Linked DNA regions of Arabidopsis thaliana. The protein of the gene in region 1 interacts with the protein of each later gene in a biochemical or structural test. Each region holds a gene or a part of one and is shown on either strand. Other genes may lie near its edges.

The links. The genes of interacting proteins can lie anywhere in the genome.
Region 2: the proteins of FAS1 (region 1) and CYP71 form a complex in vitro, tested with the Arabidopsis thaliana proteins (one study listed by BioGRID).

What each region holds. Positions count from the first base shown.
Region 1 is NC_003070.9:24,318,896-24,325,785, reverse strand, and holds FAS1 (chromatin assembly factor-1 (FASCIATA1) (FAS1)), read left to right. Parts: upstream 1-1,694; 5' UTR 1,695-1,906; coding exon 1,907-2,365; intron 2,366-2,488; coding exon 2,489-2,588; intron 2,589-2,669; coding exon 2,670-2,817; intron 2,818-2,899; coding exon 2,900-3,023; intron 3,024-3,154; coding exon 3,155-3,519; intron 3,520-3,600; coding exon 3,601-3,906; intron 3,907-4,427; coding exon 4,428-4,509; intron 4,510-4,585; coding exon 4,586-4,723; intron 4,724-4,987; coding exon 4,988-5,401; intron 5,402-5,475; coding exon 5,476-5,613; intron 5,614-5,706; coding exon 5,707-5,880; 3' UTR 5,881-6,390; downstream 6,391-6,890. UniProt on the Arabidopsis thaliana protein: Component of the chromatin assembly factor complex (CAF-1) involved in chromatin assembly following DNA replication and DNA repair. Assembles histone octamers onto replicating DNA in vitro.
Region 2 is NC_003074.8:16,164,395-16,171,144, forward strand, and holds CYP71 (cyclophilin71), read right to left. Parts: upstream 4,911-6,750; 5' UTR 4,808-4,910; coding exon 4,623-4,807; intron 4,456-4,622; coding exon 4,370-4,455; intron 4,282-4,369; coding exon 4,193-4,281; intron 3,987-4,192; coding exon 3,747-3,986; intron 3,655-3,746; coding exon 3,533-3,654; intron 3,246-3,532; coding exon 3,170-3,245; intron 3,042-3,169; coding exon 2,934-3,041; intron 2,853-2,933; coding exon 2,676-2,852; intron 2,235-2,675; coding exon 2,017-2,234; intron 1,854-2,016; coding exon 1,721-1,853; intron 1,617-1,720; coding exon 1,393-1,616; intron 1,294-1,392; coding exon 1,140-1,293; intron 1,058-1,139; coding exon 974-1,057; 3' UTR 541-973; downstream 1-540. Other genes in the region: AT3G44590 (60S acidic ribosomal protein family), read left to right, coding at 1-127, 238-264. UniProt on the Arabidopsis thaliana protein: PPIases accelerate the folding of proteins. It catalyzes the cis-trans isomerization of proline imidic peptide bonds in oligopeptides.

The DNA.
Region 1 (6,890 bases):
CGTTAGAAATTATGGAATTTTTATTTATAATATTTTTGAACCCCAAATCAGATAAAATTTTTAAAAAATATTTTTTCACCATAAGTTTTTAATGTTAGAATTATCTTATATTGGAAGTGGAAATGAATGTTAGGAACAAAAGTCTTTAACATAAAAATTTGTGCCTTTAAAATAGCTCTTAACTTTCATCTCCACGTTGATTAATTTAGACCATCCTGTGTTGACGTTGAGTTTGTGATCTTTTTCAATGAAAACAAATATCTAGTGTAATTTTTTTTTTTTTGACGTAATTACTTAGAATATTTAAAAGGGTCTAATTGCACAAGTTTTATGCCGCCATTATGAATAATAGCATAGGTTGGATATTTTAGATAATTTGTTGCAATATAGTGATGTATTGCAATAAATATAAACGTTTAATCGTTTAAACGCACCATTTAGTGTCATAATTTACGTAAATATCGTTTTTAAGGTTCCAACTGCACAAGTTTTTTATGCCGTCACCATAAATGGTATAAGCATGATATTTTCTAGTATAATTTGTTGCAATGCATCACTATTTCCTAAGTTTTTCAAAAACATTATATACAGAATAAATTCAAATAGCATTTTACATTATACTAATTTGTTATTAAGCCTTTAAAACGCATTATTTAGTATGAAGCTATCAATGTATAATGTATCATATCATGCAAATGGCATATCCAAAGGGAGATGAAGAACGTCAGAAGCATGACGAGAGATGCTTGAGCCGTGAGGGTAGCCTCGTGGGAATGAATACAAAAAGCTCACACATAAAAGTAGCATTTTTAATGGCCACCAAATCTTATCACCCTTTTTGGGATATTTTTAAAAAATTTTGAAAATAAAAGAAATATTCTTTATCTGATTCCTATTACTGAAAAGTGAACACTGAATAAAACGTCAGTTCATTGGTTTCTCCTATTTTTACAATTACAGAAAATCATCTCTCTATTTTGTTTTGTTATTTCGTTTAGTACAATGCCGCAAATAAAAACACTAGCCATTTAATAACTCACTTTGTTTGCTTATTGAATTGTCCAACCAATTACTCATTCTTAATTAGTATGACTGTTAGTATCTTTTAGAAGAAAATTAAAGCGAAGAATTATAATTCAAACATTTTTCTAACGACAAATTAACACGCACTACTACCACATCATTCATCATCAATTGATTCCCTCATATGGTCAGTCAACAACATATGCTCAGTGAACAAAAACCTCACCATCTTCTCTCCCTCCCTTTTCTTGCTACAAATCTTCATTTCCTTTCACTTTCTTACCTCGTTCATAAATCGTATCCAAAGTATTATTCGGTTTCATTCGGAGCTCTTGCTCACCATGACCGTATTAGGCTTAAAATTAAAATTAAAATGAGTAATTTCTAGTCTCTATTTATATAACCGCATCCGCATGAGTATTTAAAATTAGTAAATTCTAGTCTCTATTTATATGTCATCCCAATTGTTTCCCCCACTATATTGGGCTTAAAAGAAACAAAAGCAGGCCCACATAGGCCTTCATCTTCTCCAAAACTTGAGTGGCGCCAAACAGTAAAATTGCATTTTTGTCATTTGGAGGCAAATCCACCCGTCAAAACCTTGGCGGGAAAATCAACGACCCTTCTTTTTAGTGAATCCCCAATTTTATTTTTTTATCCTTTTTTTTTTTCAAACCTATCCATCTTCCCACTCCCTTCTTCTTCTTCTTCTCCAAAAACCTAAGAACTCTGAGAAAAAAAAAATCCAAAATCAAAATCACGAAAGGAACAACAAATCTCCACTCAGCTCGTGTTTCTCGCAATCGATTTCTTAGATTCTAGATCTTGTTTCAATTTTCCTGGGTTTATAGATTCCCGAATTTTTCTAGTTTTTTTTTTTGCGATGGACGAAGTTTCGACGGTGAATGAAAATGAGAATCGGAAGACGATGATAGAGCCAAAGAAGCTGAATAAGCGGAAGAGAGAACCCACGGCGATTGAGAATCTAACATCTGAGGAGAAAGAATCTCAGATCTCGTCGTTGAATCTAGAGATGAAAGGGCTTTTTGATTATTTCAGAGAAGTTATGGATAAGAGTAAGAGAACAGATCTGTTTTCTGGATTTAGTGAATGTTCCTCATTGAATTCGATGGTGGCTTTGTTAATGGAGGAAATGAGTTTGCCGTTGTCGAAGCTTGTAGATGAGATTTACTTGAAATTGAAGGAGAAGACTGAAAGTGTTACTATGGTAGCTGTGAAGAGTGCTGTTGTTTCTGTTGGTCAGAGAGTTAGTTACGGTGTGCTTAACGTAGATGCTGATGTTTTGGAGGATGATTCTGAATCTTGTCTTTGGTGCTGGGAGGTAATCTTAGTTTGCTAATCTTACAAGTTTTGATCTTTGAATCTAATGGTAAGTTTGGTGTGGTTTATACTCTTTGGTGATGTCATTTAATGTTTGAGATGTAATGTTTATTTGATGTTGTAGACGAGAGATCTGAAAATCATGCCGAGTTCCGTTCGTGGAGTGTTAAAACTTCGCCGGACTTGTCGAAAGAAGATTCATGAAAGGATTACAGCAGTTTCTGGTAAATGTTGTTTTTAGTGGTGATTCGTATTGATTGTTTGTTTATAAGATGTGAGTGTTTATGCCCTATGTTGTGTTTCAGCAATGTTAGCTGCATTACAAAGAGAAGAAACTGAAAAGTTGTGGAGATCTGATTTGAGTAAAGCTGCTGAGAAGCTTGGTAAAATACTGAGTGAGGTGGATATTCGATCATTCATGGATAACATGATGCAGAAGAACAGCTCAGAAATGTAAGTATCTTCTGTTAGTACTTGGTTTACATTTTATCTCTTGTTTTTCATTCTTACTCAGTTATTGTGTTTGATCGTTAAGGGCTGAGAAAGACTCAAAGAGAGAAGAGAAGCTGCTTCTTAAACAATTGGAGAAAAATAGATGTGAAGCTGAGAAGGAGAAGAAGAGAATGGAACGTCAAGTATTGAAAGAAAAATTGCAACAAGTAAGCTGATCTTTTTCTTCATTGTCTTCTAGAAGTCTTTTCTGGCGCTGTTTATTCTCTTTTAGTCATCTAGGATGTGTTGTTTGATTTCAAAGTCTGACTTCTGACTGAGCATTTGTTCACTGTGACAGGAAAAAGAGCAGAAGCTACTGCAGAAAGCAATTGTTGATGAAAATAATAAAGAAAAAGAAGAGACAGAGTCAAGAAAACGGATAAAGAAACAGCAAGATGAGTCGGAGAAGGAGCAGAAGCGTAGAGAGAAGGAACAAGCCGAGCTAAAGAAGCAACTTCAAGTACAGAAACAAGCTTCAATCATGGAACGGTTTCTTAAAAAGAGCAAAGATAGTTCATTGACCCAACCCAAACTTCCTTCCAGTGAAGTAACTGCTCAGGAGCTGTCATGTACAAAACATGAGAATGAAATTGGAAAAGTTGTTCAGGCAATTGACAACGCCTTTTCAACAACTTGTGAAGCTACAGTTGATGATATTCGCAGGTATGACATTGGTTCTCCTTGTTGATTGATTCTGTGAGGTGTCACTTTGGGTATTGTGATCTGAGTTGTATTTCTTTGTAGGGAACACTTTGCTTCCTGGCGTCAGTTGGGTCATTTGCTCTCGAGTTCGAAAAAACATTGGGGGATGCGTAGGCAGCCTAAGAGTGAACTGTTTCCAAAACTAAAACTATCTACAAATAGTGGAGTAACATCTGACGGTGAACCTAACATGGAGAAGCAAGGGGATGGATGTGAAGAGAATAACTTTGATGGTAGGCAGTGTAAGCCTTCCTCATCTAATCGTAAGAAGTCCAGGAGGGTCAAGCAGTTGTTACAATTTGATAAAAGCTGCAGACCAGGCTTTTATGGTATCTGGCCCAGCCAAAGGTTAGTAATTATTTTGAAAATTTTCATTTCAGCAGTAAGCTTATATAATATAGATTATTAGTTAGCCAAAAAGCCTTGACTAACTGCAAGCTTTCCCCTGGGTTTGTTTGGTACTGTTTTTTGATATTAGCTTTGTTGCGAAACATTTTTCAATTTTCACTGCATAAGTCATAAAGTTTTCCGATGCTGCCTATGTGACTACTTTTTTCATGGTGTTTAATAAAGCAGATGATAAATGACCTATGAAGTAAACATACTTTTACGCTACTTTACCCTGTTCTGATTCCTTAATTAACTAACCATCGTCTATGTTGGATCTGTGGTTATTATCGTCCAATGCATTTCAATTTGGATTGAACAATCATTGTAGTGAACTTGTAATGTACAGAACGTTCTCTGTGATTCTGATACGACAATACCATTTGTTATTCTGATATGCATCTAGCTGTTCAATTAAGTAGTGTTCACTCTCTAAGTTTGCTTACAATGGTACTGAGGGATCTGTTGTTTAACATTTGCAGTCAAGTTGTAAAGCCACGTCGTCCTCTGCAAAAGGATCCAGAATTGGATTATGAAGTTGATAGTGATGAAGAATGGGAAGAGGTAGGTTTATTGAATTCAGTACATGCTTTTTAAACTTGACAAAAGATCACTGGGTAATAAAGATACTTCTTTACAGGAAGAAGCTGGTGAAAGCCTTTCAGATTGTGAGAAAGATGAAGACGAAAGTTTGGAAGAAGGATGTTCAAAGGCTGATGATGAAGATGATAGTGAAGATGACTTTATGGTGCCTGATGGATATCTCTCAGAAGATGAGGTAACAAAAGCAATTTTTAATGAACTCGTCATAGATTCTTATAAATCTAGGTTGCAATCTAGGAATCTGCTGAAGTCAAATTTGCATTTCTTTGTAGTATCCAAACTATTGATCAAGTTACAACTTGAATTCCTCATTCATTCTTATAATTGATCACTCATTTTCTTTGAGCATGTGCCAATTTTGTGAAGGGGATAGTTAACTAAAGGCAGCTACGCTATAACGAATGTAAAGTTTCTTAACAAAGTGTGTTGTTTGTTTCAGGGGGTCCAAGTGGACAGAATGGACATTGATCCGTCTGAACAGGATGCAAATACGACATCATCTAAGCAAGATCAAGAAAGTCCAGAGTTTTGCGCATTACTCCAACAACAAAAACATCTGCAAAATTTAACTGACCATGCTCTGAAGAAAACGCAGCCACTGATCATATGTAACCTAACTCATGAGAAGGTCTCTCTCTTAGCTGCTAAAGATCTAGAAGGGACACAAAAAGTAGAACAAATATGTCTGCGAGCTCTCATGGTGCGACAATTCCCTTGGTCTTCTCTCATTGAGATATCGATCAACGACATTCAAGATGAAGATCAAGAAGCCAGCAAGTTTTCTTGTAGCCAGAGCACTCCTCCATCTAATTCAAAAGCAAAAATCATACCAGACTCAGATTTGCTTACAGTTGTAAGTGGATCTCTCCAAACAAATAACATTGTTTATGTATTGCTACTTAGCCCTAACAAGAATTTGGCGTCCAGGTATCAACTATTCAATCATGCTCTCAAGGTATCAATAGGGTAGTTGAAACATTACAGCAGAAGTTCCCTGATGTTCCAAAGACCAAGCTTAGACAAAAAGTGCGTGAAATATCAGATTTCGAGGATAGTCGTTGGCAGGTTAGTTAATACTTCGATCTTCTATTTTGAGTTTTTTGCCTTGAGACATAGTTGCTTATCACCATTCCCGCGATCCTTTGTTCTAACGAGCAGGTAAAGAAAGAAGTATTGACAAAGCTTGGATTATCACCGTCACCAGATAAAGGCGGTAAGAGATTACCGAAAACGATATCTACATTCTTCTCAAAACGTTGTTTACCTCCATCCACAAAACCACAACCTGCAGTTGAAGACGCAGCAGAGAGATTGGAAAACGAAAATGCTTAAGTCTACTCACAGTTTCCATCTTTATTTTTTTGGTTACATCCATCCCTCAACTTGGCTAAATCCTTTTTGTTTGCTTCTTGTGGATATGTATAATGCTCAATATCGGTAAAAATGTTTGAGATGAGGGAAATGATAAAATGGTTTAAGTATTAAGAAGCAACATGAAATAGCGAGATGTTTTGTTCTGTTAAAAAGGCTTTAAAACTTGGGAGTAATCATAAACCCTTATTTTATAATACGACACCGTTTAAATCGTTTTCACTTCTTCTTCCTCGCGGTCTCAGCCTCCTCCATCTTTTCTTCTTCGCAAGTTTTCTCACGACTTCGAAATCAATCTGTCTACAAAGCTATATTATGTATATAGAGTTCATTGTAAATATTCTGGTTTTGTATAGTTTTAACTGGAGTCTGTATAGGTTGGTTTAGCTGGTTAAGAGGCTCTGGTTTAGGCCTGGTCAATTGTATATAAACCCCCAATTGTAACTTTTACCAAATTAATGAGAATGAGATTATTTACTAATAAGCTAGATTACATGTTAAGATCTCCAAACAAATAACATTTCTCTTAATATATATTGCTACTTATTATCTTTAACAAAATTTGGAGTCCATAGAGGCAGAGAGATTGGAAAACGCGCGAGTTTAATTAAGACTCATAATTTCCATCTTTTTTTTTTGGTTACATCCTTTTTTCGGTTTCTTGTGGATACAAATGTATGATGTTTATATAAGATCGGTAAAAGCGTTTTAGGTGAGGGAATGATAAATGGTTAAGAAGAAATGTTTTTATTCAGTACTCAAAAGTCTCTATAAATTTCCTTTACGTACTTCCATATCAAATCACCTTTAAATCTTTTGTGCTTGTTTATACTTAGAGAAAGTAGCAGAAAATAGATGTTTTATAACGTTCACTTTTCAACCGTATACAAATATAAAATACCATAATGTGTTTATAATCGTCAAAGAAGTAAAATAAAGCAATAGCAATGCAAAGTGAAGCCATCACGAAA
Region 2 (6,750 bases), on another chromosome or scaffold:
GTTAGCGTCTGTGCCATCTGGTGGTGGTGTGGCTGTTTCAGCTGCTCCATCAAGCGGTGGTGGTGGTGCTGCTGCCCCTGCGGAGAAGAAAGAAGCCAAGAAGGAAGAGAAAGAAGAGTCTGATGATGTAAAGCATTTCTCTCTTTATCATTTTGTTTCCTTATTACTTAGTCTTTGTTATGGTCTTGATATTGGTCTTTATCTGACTCTTTGTTATATCCTTCACCTTTGATGCAGGACATGGGATTCAGTCTCTTCGAGTAAGGTTTTTGTCCCCACGGAAAGGAGTCGAGATTTGATTTTTTGTTCTCTTAGTGGTTCTGGTTTTTGCTTCTTGGATTACGAATTTTACTCCTTAGATAATGAAGCAAGAAGAGTTTTTTCAACTATGTTGCGACCTTGCGGGTTATTCATTTATCGTTTTCCGTTTGATTTACATGTTGAATCTGGTCTAAGCTTGTAATTTACATAGTTTAGTTCATAGTATGTTAGCATATCACAAAATAAGTGCCTAAGAGGGCTAGAATTTGATACACTCATGGAAAAGTTTATCTTTAGTGATCCCAAATAAACAGAAAAATCCAAATCCAAGTGAAATTGAGATTCTATGTTATTAACTTCAAACATTGGTGTTGTCGTGTTGTCGTTTCAGACATAAACCCATGAAGCTTGGATAAATTAGAAGAAAGTAGATCAACTCTATTTCAAGAAAATAAGAGGAATTGAAGTAACATTAGAAGTTGAAGTCTTTTTGTTCACTAAGCATTCTCATAAAATTTGTTTGACAAAAACATAAAATAATGTTTAGTGTCAAGAAGATGATGCCACCAACTTAACCTGATCTGCTCGGGTACAACAAACATATCCCACAGTTCGATCCATCTCCGCAAGAACAACTTCCCAGCATAGAACCAATCACGGGGTTACGGATCAGCATAGATTGTTCACTATCTTTGAGACAGTAGCAAAGATGCTAAGATTTCGGAACGGTGACATTAAGTATCTTCACATCTTGGTAAGGCCTGTCGTTCTTGTCTGTCTTCACTTTCTCTATACCCTGTTCATTTGGTTTTATGGTTAGGCACTAAGTCACACTAAGCCAACAAGTAAAAATATTCTTTTTGGTTTTCAAATCATACCTGAACGACGTCCATTCCCTTCACAACTCTTCCAAAAACAGTGTGCTTATTGTCTAGCCACGGTGTAGCCACTGTTGTGATGAAGAACTGAGACCCATTTGTGTTTGGGCCGGCATTTGCCATAGACAATGTGAACGGCCTGTCATGCCTTAGACTGCAGGCCAAGTAAAAGAACAACGTATCAAACTAAGTTAGATTTCATTTGTTTCTAAACGGATGGCTAAACTCAAAGCAGCCTGTAAGAAATGTTTACCTTTTGTGAAACTCGTCCTCAAATTCTCTGCCCCAAATTGACTGTCCTCCAGTACCATCCCCAAGAGGATCTCCAGTCTGTATCATAAATCCTCTGATAACCCGATGGAAAAGGTGGTTATCGTAATAGCCATTTCTACAGTGTGTTGTGAAATTCTCCACAGTTTTGGGACATTCTTCTGGGTAAAGCTTCATGTGAATGTCACCAAGCGTAGTATGCATTATCTGGATGATTAGGAGTTAAAAAGAGTTATTGTGTTAAGGATCCAAATTACAGTACGTAATGAAAAGTAAAATAGATACCAACATTGTGGGTTATGAAAACATACCACGTTCTCTGGAAGGGATGTTGTGGCTGAGTTTCCAATATCTGAGACAGACATAAGTTCATCAGCAGCAGGCTTCTCGTTAAACACATCTCTCCCTTGGCTTGCATCTTCAGGTTCTTCTGGCTCTCTCCGACTGCAGAAACCAATTTGTTGATAATAAATTCAAAGTAGTTCTCGGGATATCTAGAGAAAACATATGAGGTCTTTCTACAAAGTAGAATCTAAAGGTGCGAAAAAATAATTCTTTCTCCCACAACATAAAGATGAGTCATTCTAGCACAATATGAGTCACGTACCTGAACATATAGATCCTGTGTTTCTTAAAGGCACAGCATAGGATAGTCGGATCAGTCAAAGGCTCCTTGCTTTCATTTACATTTGCTGCAGCTGCAGGAATCTTTCTAACTTTCTTGCCTCCTTGATCACCTTGATATAATGCAACTCTCAGATACCTTTCATTACTCTCCACCTTTCCAAGGATCCTTGCAACTGTGTTGGTGTGTAAATTTATTACCTAGAGAACAAAAAGGTAGACAGAGAAATTAGCAGTTGCTTGTCATGATTCCATTTACTACGCATGGAAGAGTTCTGATACAATCAAATCATAAAAACTGGTCCGCTTTTACATAATGATCTGCTGAAAATACATAGATATTGAGGGTTAGTGATAATGGAGCTCCTCCCACTACCCCTTAGACACCCAAATTTACAAAAAAAATCTCAAGCTTCTTTTATTCTAAATTCACTATATTGGCAGAAAGTATAACCACTTTCATATATGGTACAAAGAAGTAACCACATTATATCTTGGTCATCACCTAAGTAAAGGTGAAAATCCCAGGTCTTTAAGCTCGTTAATTGTATCATGTGCATGTGAGACAGGATACTTATCATGTCTAGACTGTTATGCTAGTCTATGGTAATTTAAAACGAAAACAATAAGTGGATTCCTTACTTTTATTCCAAGAAAAGTGGCGTATATAAGGAAATTAGAGCTTTCATCAAACACAGCATTGGGCTGCGGAGCACTCTCGGTTTTTTCAAGTTCCTTTTCAACTGCCATTCTTCTACCAAAGTCAATAGCTTCAAGCCTGTATAAGGGAGCATCACTCCTCTGCAGATCTTGGGCCACCTAATAGTGGAATGGATCATTAACCATGACAGATTAACGTGAAAACATGTAAGGAAAGAAGCATAGAGTATGTAACCTTACCACAAGTGACTCATCATATACCCGCCTCAGTTTACCAGTTCTAAACCAGAACACACGAATCCTACGATCAGGAGCTGTAATGGAAAACTGTTTACCATCTGGACTCACCTGAAAAGAATTTCACTAAACTTAGAGACCAAATTTGCATTATGATTTTCACCAGACATATCAATTGCTAATAGCTGCATTCTAAGGATGTAAAGAAAAACCAAGGATACTAAATGCCAAATAAGTACCTCAATGGCAGAGATTGTTGTTTTGCACTTTATAATCTCAAAGAGATTTGTATCACTCTTCAGTTTAAAGTTTACCCTACAACAACAAGTAAAAGGTCAACCTGTGAACCATTAATGAAAGCAGCCCATCAACTATACTGAAATTCTAAAGATGGTCAACTAAGAAGTTGGCAACTAAAGTATTTCTACTACAGGCTCCTCTTTGCATCATTCTCAGTAATATGATATTTAACTACATTAGCCACACGCAGAAAAACAGGTATGCTTCTCTTATCCTACACGCTCCAATTTATAGAAAACAAACAGCAATACCGAAATGGAATAATAAAAGCGTTTTTGATAAGAAGTGAGACAAGGACATACTCATCCTCGGGAAACTGTAATGTAGTTGCACTCCAGTACTCAATGATTCCTTTTGTGTCACCAGAGATCATTGTGTCCGAAACAGGATTGTACTTCATGACCTTAATTGGATTCATATGTATCTGGGTATACAAAGATTAAAAAAAACTGTTAGCTTTGATAAAAAATGATGAGTCAAGAAATAACAACAAAAGAAAAAGAGATTGAAACAAACCTCTTTTGAAGCAATGGGTTCGTTGGAACCAGAACGAGGATCATAAATGTGCACAAACAAAGAGTCTCGGTCACTGACAGCAAGTTTAGCTTTGACATCCCCTTGCTTGTAGACCCACTCAACAGCACCAGGAATATATGGCAAACGGATCATGGCCATCATATCGTAGTTGACAACATCATATATTTTAACAGCATGATCATTTGAGATTGTACAGCAAAGCAAACCATCAATGCTAACCTGCATTGCTGAAACGAGTCATTGGTTGATAATAGAACTAGACACAAACAAAAAAATTGCGGAAACCATAACATGTCTAACTATAATTTCCCCGCCAGGTCAACTATCTTCATTCAATAAACAAATAAAAAGCTAATCTTTCAAAACATGGAGCATATGCCTGGATTTGAGGTGACAGTATCTTAAAAACCACTCGCGATACTTACCGCTAGACCTTCAATTGGACCGAGATGGGAGCGGAAATGCTTAGCAAACTCGATACCAACACCCTTTTTCTTCCAAAATTTCAAGTGACCTAGATTATGCAAAATATACATATGTTATGCTTTGCCATTACAAAACCAGAATGAAATCATAAATATCACAAAGATGAGAAACATTACCATCCATACTTCCACTTATAAAGAACTCAGCTGCTGAAACAGCAACATGTGTAACTACATCTCGATGCATATAACTTTTCTCATACCTAGTGAAAAAATATACAAGAGTTACTTTTTCAATACCAATTCACAGATAATAAGCTCATATATACCAACAACAATACTAAACCAATAAGCTCAAATTAAAACCCTAAACCCCAAAACTTGATTCGATTAGGAACAGAGAGGGTTCCAAAGCATAAGACATACTTACATATTAGCAGAAGGAAGCGAATCAAGATAAGCTTGCTCGAATTGAAGCGGACGCTTGCGTTTGCCTCGTGGAGCTGGTCCAGGTCCGACCATCGGCTCCTCTTCTTCTACTACAGGTGGCACCGCAACCACCGCCAATTCTTCAGTCGGAATCGTGGTTCCGCCATTCTTAGATTCTTCCTCCATTGATTTCTACTCACTTCCTCAACTCAAAACTCCTTCGTCGATTGAAAGCAAGGTTTGCTACAACTTCGAATTGTCAGAGAGAGACAGTGAGTGAAATAAATAGAGAAGAGAAGTAGATTCATGAACTAAATATATCTATTGGGCCTTATTTTTAAGCCCATATATAAATTTATGAGCCTGACCCAATTGGGTATTTTGCAGAATTTTCAGCTCCTAATTCATAAAAGTAATAAATCGAGTTTTATCTTGAGAGAGAATAATAAATAAATATATAAATAATTTATATTTTATTATCAAATAATTTTGATTAATTAAATAGACTTTTATTTTATTTTTGATCCAATTTGAATACTCCTTCCGTTTCATAATATAAGTTATTTTAGATCAAATTTTTTGTTTCACAATATAAGTTGTTTTCAAGTTTCAATACAAATTATATATTATTTTAATATTTTATGATTATCTATATTATGCACTCTCTTTTATGATTGGTAGAACTTTTTAAAAGTAAATATTCTTAATTTGTGTGCTTTTAGCTAAAACAACTTATATTGTGAAACAGATGGAGTATTTAAAATAGTGAATTTGTAAAATAATTTTTTTTATTTATGAATTTTGTAATTTTCATAATAAATTTATTTTAGTCACTAATTTTTCAAATAAATTCATATTTAGCATAAATTATATTTATAAAAAAATATTTAATAATAATAAAATAAGTTGTTACAGTTTTTTTTTGTTACTAATCAGATTTTAATAATTAAATTCTCCATAGTCAAAATCTCTACAGCCAATTTTTTACAATTAAAATCATAATAACCAAAGTTTTTACAACAAAAAATAGCAGCTGCTCCTAATCGGCCTCCTTATCACTTACTTTATCCATTACTGTTTGTTCTTATTTGACTATGGACTCTTATCCTCGAGATGTTTCTTGGTCAACCTCAGTTTCAGTGTTTGTCCTAATAGGGGTTTAGCCTTAAACCATTTGTCAGATTCAACGTAATACCTAAACTCAATTTTGGTGAAACTTGAAAGCAGTCTATGTTTCAACTTCTATTATGTACAAATAGTCCGTTAAAAGGACATGTAAAAACTTACTTGCTGCTTCGTCATGAGGCCATTTTGTTTGCAACTGACGTGGTGATAACTACCAAAATTTTGTTACTGAAGAATCCAAATAATTTGAGTTTAATAACCAACATGATTATATACTATCTAAAGTTCTAAACTATTTCTTAACATACATCATTTCAAATTTAAATAAAGTCCTATAATCCTTATTATAAAATGTAACGTAAGGATGTAAACACTTAAATATACATGAAGCATATAATTATAGACCGTAAAGGTCTTAGTTTCTTGAAGACCGTTAAGGTAACTAGAAATAATTTTATTGGTTATTTGGGATAATTTACTTGGTTCATCATATTCGTCTTCTGTCCAAAAATTCAGGTACAGTTCTTTTATGATCACATTCATTCTCTTGATACTAGAGAATTTATTTTAAAAAAATAAATATGATCATAAAAGAAGTATACTTGGATTTTGGAGCAAAGGGAGAATATGATGAACCAAATCAATCAACACAAACAAACGATGCAGTTATTTCTCGTAACCTTAACAATCTTCGAGTAGCTAGGACCTTAACGTTCTACTCTTAGCTGCATCTTGAATAAACATAAGATTTGGTTTTGAGAACAAAGATGCATACGAAGGATTTCGATGGAATTAGGATTCTTATCAATAATCTCCTTAATTTGAAGACTTTCACTTTCAATATTTTTTCTCAACGCCCTTTCCTAGTAAAGCTTTCAATGTATGCAATAAAGAGTAGTCATATTTTTTAATAATAAAACGCATAATCTTGAATTAATGTTTATAAAATAAAGAGAGGGCATATGTTCGCATCAATATATCCTCAAACATATTGGTTGCAAAAC